Canis lupus familiaris: one gene and its partners. The protein of the gene in region 1 purifies or fractionates together with the protein of each later gene. This does not show direct contact. Links are inferred from orthologs where the notes say so. Each region holds a gene or a part of one and is shown in the gene's direction. Other genes may lie near its edges. The genes, in order: BCAP31, VDAC1 and cytochrome b5.

Region 1 (2,867 bases):
AAAGTCTGGAAGCTCCACCAGTGCTGGCTGCCCCTCTTGTGCCAAAGTATTAATAACAGATGTGCACTCGGGCTCAGGAGCTGAGTGAGAACATACAAATGGCCCCCTGCTTATCTAGCTGCTGGGGCTCAGTGGTGCAGTCTCTGTCTGGAGGCCCGGGGTGTCCCAGGGGCTCCGAGACTAGCTCTGGAGCATGTTGGCCAGCAATAGGCCCAGGGAACAGTGCTCTCCGCATGTGGCAGTGTCACCAGTGTCCTTGGGGCAGGGACGGGGAAAACTCGGGAAGCTACCCCAGAACGGCTGGCAGTGTTACTGAAGAGTTCATCTGTTCCCTTCCTGAAAGCCCCTCCCAACACGCTTTTTGCTCTCAGCATTCTGCTCCCTATCTCCTGCTGTCACCTCAATGTTCTCAGACTGTTGGTTCCAGGCCCACAGCCTCCCCGAAGTCACCCATGCCTAGGGCCACTTGGAGTCCCTCCATCAAATGGGCCAGGGGGTCCTTGGTGTTTTCCCGCTTCCCCCATCTGTGCTGGCCAGCCCTCCCCTGCTTCAGGGGCTCGCCCTACAGCTGGCAGGGGAACTTTTCTGGAGAGGAGCACCCTCCTAGACAGCCTCAGTGGGGACACATTCAGACCTGTCTCTGGTGTCTCCAGCAGCTGGATTTTTTCTTCCTAACTAATCCCTATCTTTGTGTTTTCTTTTTCTCCTTATCTGCATCATCTCCAGAACTAGAGAAAGCTGAACGCGAGGCCGTGGCCATGCGGAAGCAGTCTGAGGGCCTTACCAAGGAGTATGACCGTCTGTTGGAGGAGCACGCAAAGTTACAGGTCAGTGGCATGTGTGCTCTGCTCTGCCGGGTCGGATCTGCCCCCCGCACCCTGAGCAGCACTGAGCGGGCTCATCCCCAGCCTGGCCTCCCTCGACAGAGCCTTCAAGAGGCCCTGGTGGTGGGGCTGGCTGCTTTTTTCTTTCCCCCGTTCCCCCTTTCTTCCTCCATTGCTGCTGACTCTGGGTCTAGAGAAGAGCCTGCCAAGCAGTGCCAGTTTGGGCTCAGCAGCTGGAACTCTTTCTCTAGCAGGAGGGGTGTGGCTTGGCAGATGGCAGCCACTTGCTAAAGTGGCCTTGGTAGTGCGGTGGGCCCTCATGCCTGGCATCAGTGTTTCTGAGAAGAGCACCTTCCCTCACACGTGTACCTGGTCTGTGGTGTGGCGCTCCTGACTGGTCCAGGTCCATTGCAGGGACACTCTGCGACTGGCAGCTTGCCTCTTCTGCATGTGGGCTGTGGGGGTGATGCAGGGCTGGGGCGGCCTACCTGCCCCACCCCCCTCCTAGGACCTGTCAAGAGTCCTCAGATTGGCTGAATCTGGAAGCTCAGGTGGCCTGAGAATTGGGCCTGAGGGCCATGTAAATGCCCCTAAGTTCTAACAATTTGCCTTGTCACTTGGCCTAAATTTGGCCACCACAGTGGCTGAAGAGATAGGGCCCAGGCCCCAGAGGAGGACTGCTTGGCCTCAATGTAGGGTGGGATCACCAGCAGGACCCATAAAAGATGTGCAGAATTGTGCAGGGCCTGAGCTGGGACTTGGGAGGGACTTGAATGCCGGGTCTGCCACGGGCCCAAGACGGCGGTTGGTGTGGGGTCCTGTGGCTTAAAGAGAAGCATGACAGCAGAGGCGCCCAGCTACACCCCTCTGGTTGGCATTAGGGTCACAGCCTTTGCTAGAGAGGGTCCACAATCACCTGGGCAGGCCTTTAGGCGTTGCTGCAGGTGGGGTCCCTTGCTCACCTGGTACCTGTTACCTGGGGAGAAGCCAGCAAGCTGGGCCTTTGGGGTGAAGGGGCTAGGGGGTGAAGGGGAGGGGTGCACCCTGTCGACCCGTTGCCTTGTGGTTTCTGTCCCTTCCAGGCAGCGGTGGATGGCCCCACGGACAAGAAGGAGGAGTGAGGCTGCTCCTCCCCACCTGCCACCTGGGCTGTGCCCGCTGCTGCCTGCAGCCCGGCCTCCCCGGTACCTCAGTTCGCCCCCTCTGCTTCCTGTCCCCTTGCACAGCTTGCAGTTCCACGCTCTCCCGGCATACCCCAGGGGACCCAGTTTCTGCCTGCGCAGGATGAATTTGCTGCCATCCCAGCCGGCCAGGCATGAGGCAGGCATTGCTTCCCACTGGGTTGTGCCTCTTTTGTGTTGCGTGTTGTTTGGGGTTCCAGGGCCCCTTGTCTCTGGTCCTGCAGGAGGGTAGACGGTGCAGGCAGAGTAGAGTTTTCCTGGGGCAATAAAGTTCGTTGTTATGTGACTATGATTCGTGCGTGTAACTGAGGCCACCAGGAAGCCGCGTCTTTCTCCCATCACTGGAGGGACCAGGAAGGGAGTGGCGGGGAGTTCTGATAGAGACCCCCAATGTTGGGTCCTGGAGGCCTTCAGGTTATTTTCTTTCAATTTACTAATCTCTAAAGACCCCCTCATCCTAGGTTGGGCCCAGGCTCATACTTGCTCTCCCTGTCCCTTTGCCTTCTGCTCCCCAGGCAGGCCCTATTTTATGACCACTTGGGGTGTGTCTGACCTGTTGGGTTGGCCACTGGGTCCACGGAATCTTGGGAGACTCAGTAAACTGCTGGGGCTTCCGGGTGGCAGATTTGCCTGCCTCCTCTGAGTCCTGTTCATCACATTTTAGGACAGATAGAACATGGCAGAGTGCCACCAGTCACTCCCTGCCCCACTTCCTCCTGAAGGTTTGCAGGATGACCTCTGACTCACGCCTACTAAGACAGGAGACTTGCCCTTGACAGTGACCTATGACTGGCCCAGGATAGAGCTAGGTGGTGGGGAGGGTGCCCCCTCTGCTACCTGCAACCTTGGGAACATGTTGGAC
Region 2 (4,074 bases), on another chromosome or scaffold:
GGGTTTATTAGCTCATAATTGCAAGGGAGGACCTGATTGGCTGCTCTTGGGTCAGGTGCCCCCCCTCCAGTCCGAACCTGGCAAGAAAGAAGGAAGGTGGGGCTGGAGGTGGCAGAGCCAAGCCTGGCATAACCTGCTGCCTGGTTCAGCTCTTCCTTTGGGGCTGTGGTGGGGAGCAGTCAACACTAGGGTCTGAGGATGCCATGTTGCACCAGATTTCTTCAGTGTTTTTGGAGTGCTTGCTTCCCATTTTAAACTTGCCCCAACCCTCTGAAATTGCAGCTGAGCAGTTAGCCCAGTTGCCCAGAGTCACACAGCCAGTGAGTCAAAGAACACTCGTGTGATTCATCTGAAAGTGACACCTGGGGGAGCCCCAGAAGGGACCCAGAGCAGGTGGGGTATGGGGAACTCTTCCCACAATCAGGGTCCTGAAAGGTGGTTTGGCAAGGAGGTGCTGGAGAGGAGGGGAACACTTAGGACCTTTGGTCCAAGCATCACACCTGGGCTTTACTGACCCAGGGTGAGATATCTGCTCCTAGCTCCTGTGACATTTCTGGAGCCCCATCTTCCCCTAGAGCTATCTGGCTCTGCCCTGCCTCCTTGAGGTCCTGTCCTCCCAAAGGCGGCTTTCCTGCGCTCATGGGTGACTCAGTGGCTTTCCTTGCCTCACCCTCTCCAGGAGTGTGCCGGGGCCTTTGTGTGTGGAGCGGGAATGACCAGGCTGGGAAGCTCTGAGCCCTCCAGTTAGCCATGGAGCAGCTCGTGGGCCTGGGGAGAGTTCCAGCATGAGCGCTCCACGCTCCAGGACCTCAGGGGGTTTAGCGTGCTTAGACCAGAGACCCCTACAGAGCCCGGTGCACTTTGCACCGCCCCCGCCCCCCCCTTCCCAACCCCATAAGCTGGTGCCCTTCTTCTCGGCATCCGGGCCCCATCGGAACACCAGTCAGTTGCCTTTTCCTCCTCCCGCTGCCCTCGGCCCAGCAGCCTGTCCTCTGGCCTCTGCCGCCGCCCCAGCCGCCTGCTCCTTTAATCGGCGCCACAGCTGGTGGTGAGCGAGCGTCGGGGTCCCGGAGCCCCTGCCTCCTCCACGGGCCCCGAGGCGCGGAGAACGAACGTTTGTTGGCGGAGGCCAAAGCCGCGCAGCCCCTCCGACCGGCCACGAGGCTCTGCGCAATTCTGGGTGACGGAGGCCGCCGGCTCGGGCGGGGCGGGGGCTCCCCGGGGGCCCGGGCTGGCTCCCGCCTCCCGTCTGCGCTCTCGGGCTCCCAGCGGGGGACGTTCTGCCGAAGCGCGGTTTGCTGTTTTCACTTCGCAAAAGCTCCGAAAATGGCCACTGGCAGTCTCGCTCCCGGGGAAAGTGCCTGCTACTCTGGAGCGCAAAAGCTCGGCGCACCCGGGTTGCTCGGCGCTTGGCCCTCGGCCGCCGCGGCCGGCACGCGTGTCCCCGCGCACGCACCCCTCGCGCGCCGCCTCGTCCCGCGCCGGGGCCCTCGCCGCCCCCCTCCGCGCGCCCGCACTCGCCCGGGGCACCGCGTCGGGGCAGGCGCCGAGGGCGCGCGGAGGGGGCGGCGGGCGCGGGCGCGGGCGCGGGCGCGGGGACCGGGCCCCGGCCTGGGCGGTGTCCGGGGCGGGCCCAGGGGCGGGGCTCGCGTGCCCGGGTGCGCAGGGTCGGGGCGGGTCCGCGCCGCCGCCGTCCGCGCCGCCCCGCCCCGCCCTCGGCCCGGCCGTGCGCTCGGTTCCTCGCGCAGCAGCCTCCGCGGTAGGTGCCGCCGAGCCCGCCGCCGAGCCCGCCGCCGCCCGCGAGGTAGGCACCTCGGCCGGGGACCCGCGCCCCGCAGGCGCCCGGGGGGGCGGGCCGGGCCGCGGGAGCTGAGCGGGAGGCGGTGGAGGGAGGAGCCGCGCGGACGGGGGGCCGAGGGCCGGGCCGGGCCGGGCCGGGCGGCGCGGGGGAGCGGAGCGGGGCGGGAGCGGGGCGGGAGCGGGGCGGGAGCGGGGCGCCCCGCGAGGGCCTGGGCGGGCAGCGGCGGGCGCAGCAGGCCTCGGCGGGCGGCCCGGGCGGGGAGCGGGCGGCCGGACGCCCCGGGGCGCCTGCGGCTGGGGCTCGAGCCTGCGGGGACCGCGGGGACCGCGGGCGGAAGGGCACGGGCCGCGCGTGAGGGCCCGGCCGGCTGCAGGTCTCGGTGACCTTTGCCGGCGGCGCCCTCTGGACCTGGGTCCCGCCCTCGCGGCCCGGCGGGGGACCGCCCGCCACCCACGCTCGCCGGGCTCGGCCCACGGACCGGCGCGGGCCATGCGGTGGCCGCGGGGATGAGCCGCTGTGATGACCGAGGCCCAGCCCGGCCCCGGCCCCGGCCCCGGCCCCCGCACCGGCCCCCGGCCCCCGGCCCCGCACGCCCTGCCCGGCCCGTGGGTGCACGCCCAGGGACGCTGGCGCCCGGCCTTGTCCGCGGGTCCTAGGCCTCTAGGGCCCGGGCGGGGGGCTAGGCCTTGGGAAGGGAGGCCCGGCGGGAGCGGGATGTGGCCTCCTTGGCCTCTGGAGCGCCTCCCGGTTTGTTTGCTCGTTCATTCACGGAGCGCGGCGGCGCCTTCACGAAACTGGCTCGGAGCCCTTGGATTTCCGGACTTGCAATCCCAGTGACTTGTCCAAGGTCACACTCAGCAGGCCTGAGTGCTCTCATCTGTAGAATAGGAGCAGTTACAGCTCTCCCTCGTTGGGTTTTTGGGAAGAATAAAATGAGTTGGTCAACACGAAGCCTTCAGGGGAAAGCTGGACAGCCTTGAGGCTTTTTGGGAGGATTTAGCCCATCCTCTGCAGACCATTTTACTCCACGTGGTGTTCTGGAAAGGGTTCAATAAACAGCCAGCTGCTGTTATTTTAAACATTATTACTAAGCACTTGTATACTGGGCACTGAGTAATTTTCAGGATAATTCATGAAAAATCCTTATAGAAGTTTATAGACAGACAAGGTCAGGCTGAAGCAGGAAGTTGCCTTTGGGTGCAGAGCTGAGGGAAGCCTAGCCTTGTTTGACCCATTCCCTTGACCAGCCTCACCTCTCTGGAGGAGATAGAGAATGGATCCCTCCTTTTCTGCATTCACTGTTGGCAAGGCCAGGGCAGACTGCCCAGGGCTTGCCTTGTTTCTCCAGCCCAGCTCTGGACTGAGTTCTACAGGGTTAGGCTTAAGCCTTATGCAGCTTTGTTTTCAGCGCCTGGGGTGGTGCCACTTGACCCACATTAGGTACTTGAGAAGGGTCTGTGGGGGCAAATGCAATCTTGCTTTTTATCCAAGAAGCAACTCACCCTTACTGAGAGAAGGATAGTTTTTACGATGGCAGCATGTGGCTTAGAGTAGGTGCTCATTAAGTATTTGTGAAATTATTGAATGGGCATATGTAGTGGATGCAGGCCCAGACCAGAGTTTCTTGATCTTGGACATCCTAAGGGACACACACTCATTCACTTCCAGCAAATACCCTTGCTTAGGAGAGAGTCACAGATATTTAAAGACTCGCAGTTGAATGTACAGCCCTGGAGCACTGAGATGCAGATCTGTTTCCTTTTTTTTTTTTTTTTTTAAGATTTTTAAATTTTATTTATTCATAGAGACAGAGAGAGAGGCAGAGACACAGGCAGAGGGAGAAGCGGGCTCCCTGCAGGGAGCCCGATGTGGGATTCGATCCTGGGTCTCCAGGATCACGACCCAGGCTGTAGGCGGTGCTAAACCACTGCGCCACCGGGGCTGCCCGCAGATCTGTTTCCTAATTTGAAATCTGCTTTAAACCTATTACCTTCGTTATGTGACTTTTTCACATCCTGTGGGAAACTTGTAGAACTGGTGTTTCTGGGCCTGCAGGGTGGTGGTGGTGGGGTGACCCCAGTGAGTCGGGATTCTCCTAAGGTTTTGGGCCTGGTGCTTTTCCTCTTTCTGATGAGTGGATTGGTAAAATGCTTGACCCTGGAGATTGTCCAGAGTAAAATTCTTGACCGTGGGGAGGGGGTAGTACTGCTCTTACTTGATTACTTAGTTTTATTTCTGTATTCTATTCTGTATGCAATAGGCAAGGGCTATCT
Region 3 (4,353 bases), on another chromosome or scaffold:
AAATCAAAGAGTTGGAAAGTTGGCTTTTTGAAAAGATCAGTAAAACTGAGAAACCTCCAGCAAGGCTGACAACAAAAAAATGAGAGAAGTCACAAATTATTAGTATCAGGAATTAAACTGAGGATATCATTATAAACCCTGCAAACATCAAAAGGATAATAAAGGAGTAATATGAATGACATCACACATAGATTTGACAATTTAGATGAAATGGATAAATTCCTCCAAAAGTATATAGCACCGCGACTCAGCCGATGTGAAACCAGTAATTTGATAGTGTCATGGAAATTAAATTTCACGGTTTAAAACCTGAAAAAGAAATGTGCAAGCCCATATGGTTTCACTGGAGAAGTCTACCAGTTCTACTTCTAGAGAATAAAACCAATTCTATACAATCTCTTCCAGAAAAATAGAAAAAAGGGAATACTTTCCAACTCATTCTATGAAGCCAGCAAATACCATGCATGAAAGAAAACTGCACACAAGTATTCCCCATAAAAGTCTAACAAAATATAATTTAGCAATAAACAGGTGGGCTGTACTTAGAGATGCAAGGCTGTTTCCGTATTTGTTCTTTTGTTTTGTTTTGTTTTTGTTTTTTTTTGTTTGTTTGTTTCGGTATTTGAAAAGCAGTGTATCCAATCATATGTAAGGGCTGTTGGAATGCTTGGGAAAATCTTTCCTCCCCATGGGCATGCATTCCTATGGAGGAGGTCAGGTGGGGGGAACGAACCTTTACGGAGGCTCCTGATGTGGGGGAGCTGTGTGGAGTCTCTAGGATGGCCTTCCCTGTACCCTGTTGTGTAGGTCCTTCTGGCATTCACTACCATTGCTGAAAAGGGCCTTAACAGGTGACTGGATAATGTGCTGGGATTTCCCTCTTTTTTCCTCAAACATTTGCAAGTCTTCCTGAGTGCTCGCTGAGCAGTTGCTGTTCGGAGCCCAAGTGCTGTTGGTCTTTAGGATTTATGTCAACATCACACTGCGGAGACGAGACAGTATTCGCCGGGCAGTGTCCGCAGAGCGTTAGGAGTCCTTAGGCTTCTGCTTTGTACAGAACCAGTACCTTCCCTGGGCCTTTTCCCTGAAGGCACACTGTTTCTCTGAAGCAGGGCTGTCCCGTCACGTTAACAGTTTGATATTAACAGACTCGTGGCACAGTAACTTACGCAGTGACATTCCGGGCTGGCGAGTCTGACCTGACTGCCAAATCACCGCGAAGTAGCCTCCTCGGCCGGCCACTCCGCCGCCCCAGCCTTCTGCGCAGACGCGGGGGAAGCCCCGCCCCCGCCCCCTCCCCCGGCTCGCCTCGCCCTCCGCGCTCCCGCCCCGCCCCTGAAGGGCACTTCTTGCAGCCAGTCGGCACCCGCGCGCCGGGCGGGGGCGCGCCGAGATTGGCGGAGGCTGTCGGCCGAGGGCGGGCCCCCTGACTGACACGGGTTCTGTCCAGTCACCGGGGGCCGTGAGCCACCGCCCCCTCCGTGGCGCGGGCCGCCCTGCTGTCCGCTCGGGGCTGGGGCGCGGGGAATGTCCCGGGTCGAGCTCGCTGAGACGCGCTCAGCTCCGCCCGGCTCGGCTGCTGTCTGCACGGCCTGAGGCCCGCCGCTTTCCGAAATGGCCGAGCAGTCGGACCAGACCGTCAAGTACTACACCCTGGAAGAGATCCAGAAGCACAACCACAGCAAGAGCACCTGGTTGATCCTGCACCACAAGGTGTACGATTTGACCAAGTTTTTGGAGGAGGTGAGTTGGAGAAACGTGAGCTGTCTGTCGTTCACAGCGCGGTGGGGCTGACGTGCGCGCAGGGTGGGATGTGCTTCCCGGTGCGTGCGCCCCCGGCTCTGCCCCCGAGAGCCTTCCTGGTGTGTGCGTAGGTGCGCCTCCAGTCCTAGGAGCGCCCCTGCACCCAGCTCTGTGCCCGAGAGCGTTCCTGGGCGTGTGTGTACGTGCGCCTCCGGCCCCGGGGCGCCCCTGCACGCACACCGGCCGGTGCACGCACCCAGCTTTGCGCGCTGTGCTGCACGCTCGGGAGCGGGGGCGACTGGGCGAGCCTGGTAGCCGCCCGCGACGGGCCCGCACCTCCGGGCGTGCAGGACGGCGGCACCGGGGGTTGGTGGGAAGCACAGCCGCGTCCCGAGCTGCGGAAGGATTTTGAAAGATCCCTTTCGGAATTTGCATAAGGGGGCTCCCTGGAAGCCGGGGATAGGCCCACTTCCGTTACTGCGGGGGAGACCACCCTCTGAATGGGGGGGATCCTACCTGAGAAAACCCTGAATTCAGAGGTCGGGGTGTGGTCCACAGGCCCACCCCAACTTCGACGCGCGCCCTGTCTGGAAGGCAGCGCCGTGATTGTTAACAGCATCCAGTGAGGACTTTACAGCGCGGACTCAGGAGGCCGGGAAATCAGCGCCGCCGCGGGTGTGAAGCTCCGAGGAAGGCGGAATATAGGTCCTGAGGCTGCCGGGCGGCGCTGGACCCTACCTTTGGGAGTTGTAAAACCACTTTGCTTCACTTAAAGGAACACATTCCTTGATAAGATTCTTTGCATTAGGATATAATTTTTGCAGCACATCCTAAGGGGCTTTTCTTCGCTACCTCTGGATTTGTTTTATCACTGAGTGTGAATGAGAAATCTGAATGTAGCACTTACCCACCTCCCAGACAAATAAGAATGTTTAGTGATGGGAATTTTTTTTACATAGTTGAAGGAGAAATGAAAATAGAGGCCTGTCTTAGCTGAATAAAAATGTACATCAAGGACTTTTGTAGAGAATTTATTGATTGATTTTTTTAACTCTTTTTTTAAAAGTTGAAGCTGATGTTAAATGAGATATTTTACTCCTAAGTTGTCATTTGGTGGTGTGCCAGAAGATAAAATAGTGTTCTGATTTAGGAATGGTTTATAGTAAGGAGGCACACCTGATCTGTCCCTTCTGAGCCACCGGCATTAGAGAGGGTGGAGTTAGCAACCCTGCCTGGTAATATCAGGGCTAGTTGATGCCAAAGGTCTACGTTCAACCAGTTCCTTCTCCCTCTCTCTCCGTATGTGTAATTCTAGAACTTTAAGACTCAGCGTGTGCTTTCTTTGTTTCTATCTGTAAAAAAGAACAGCATTTATGAAAAAAATAAAAGGATATTTTTGTGAACTATTTTTTCTTTTTCCTTTCTTTGTGGGTTTTGTTTTGTACATTGTGTTGTACAGGCAGCTTGCCTGGCCTTTTCCCCACCAGATGTCACCACTCACTTCCCAATTGTGACAGCCAGAATGTCTCCAGATATTGCCAAGTGGCCAAAAATCACTCCTAGTAGAGAATCACTGTCCTAAAAATGTATTTTGCATAACTTTTAAGGGCAAATTTCTCAGAAGGAGATAATAAAGAGAAAATTGCTAAATTTTAAACCACTTTTCATTCTTATGAGGCAGGAAAGAGGGAATTGCACAGAATTTTTGTGAGTAAAATTGTAAGAAATGTGAACAAGCTGTTGGATAAATTAGCTGACAACCAATTCCTTTATTGTATTGTTTTCAGTATTCTGTATGAAAGTAGCTTCAGGAGAATCTGTTAGATAATAGGTGAAATGAGTTTGTCACTAATGTTTGATAACGTAGTGAGATAACTAAAACTATAGTGAAATAAGTAAAAAGTTTATAGTAGTTCTGTTTCCTTTTCTAATTGGTACTTGGTGAGATGCTCCCTGTGGTAGCCTCCTGTGATTTGAGTTTGGGGCACAGAAGGCTGTGTATTCAGCCTTCTAGGAGTCATGCCCTTTCTTTTGATCAGTAAGTTCCGTATCTTATGTACTCCATTGGGTATGTCTCCCTCAGTAGACTACAACCCAAGAGGAAGACACATGATTTCTGTTCCCAAAACCTTCCATTGGAAGAAGCAGGTATAGGACAGGAGAGAGTGCGGTGCTTGGGTCTGCTGCATCTAACTCAGTTGGGATCAGACTCTGGAGGGCAGTGTGAGGCCTCAGGCCTCAGCTCTGTAAAGAGCACCTGAAGTCCCCAGTGGCGGGATGGAAAGGACAACCCAGGTGCACAGAGTGGGATCTTGATTAAGGTAGAAGAGCAAGGTGACTGACATTTTGAAGTTTTTGGACCCACTGGCAGGATGCTGGGCATTTCCAGGGTGATACCCCCTCCTAGGATCCCTGCCTATGGCTTCCTGCATCTTAAACACACATCCCATCAGCTTCTGTAGGACACTCTGCCAGGTGTCATTCTTCTGGATCCCTCTTATTTGCATTACTTTGTTTGGCCAATGCTGTTTATCTCATACCTTCTTTAGAGACAGAGAACGGAGTCCAAGAGATCTGTATCTTCCTTCCTGCCTTGCCCCTTTCTTCCAT

Evidence for each region.
Region 2: the proteins of BCAP31 (region 1) and VDAC1 purify together in Homo sapiens (affinity purification with western blotting; 3 studies listed by BioGRID, with this or other methods). This does not show direct contact. The link is inferred for Canis lupus familiaris from reciprocal best matches to the Homo sapiens genes BCAP31 and VDAC1.
Region 3: the proteins of BCAP31 (region 1) and cytochrome b5 purify together in Homo sapiens (co-immunoprecipitation; 4 studies listed by BioGRID and IntAct, with this or other methods). This does not show direct contact. The link is inferred for Canis lupus familiaris from reciprocal best matches to the Homo sapiens genes BCAP31 and CYB5A.

The regions. Positions count from the first base shown.
Region 1 is NC_049260.1:122,702,919-122,705,785, reverse strand, and holds the end of BCAP31 (B-cell receptor-associated protein 31), read left to right. Parts: intron 1-726; coding exon 727-827; intron 828-1,906; coding exon 1,907-1,945; 3' UTR 1,946-2,297; downstream 2,298-2,867. UniProt on the Homo sapiens protein: Functions as a chaperone protein. Is one of the most abundant endoplasmic reticulum (ER) proteins.
Region 2 is NC_049232.1:22,230,397-22,234,470, reverse strand, and holds the start of VDAC1 (voltage-dependent anion-selective channel protein 1), read left to right. Parts: upstream 1-1,159; 5' UTR 1,160-1,180; intron 1,181-1,704; exon of another isoform or gene 1,705-1,804; intron 1,805-4,074. UniProt on the Homo sapiens protein: Non-selective voltage-gated ion channel that mediates the transport of anions and cations through the mitochondrion outer membrane and plasma membrane.
Region 3 is NC_049222.1:5,043,462-5,047,814, forward strand, and holds the start of cytochrome b5, read left to right. Parts: upstream 1-1,485; 5' UTR 1,486-1,614; coding exon 1,615-1,743; intron 1,744-4,353.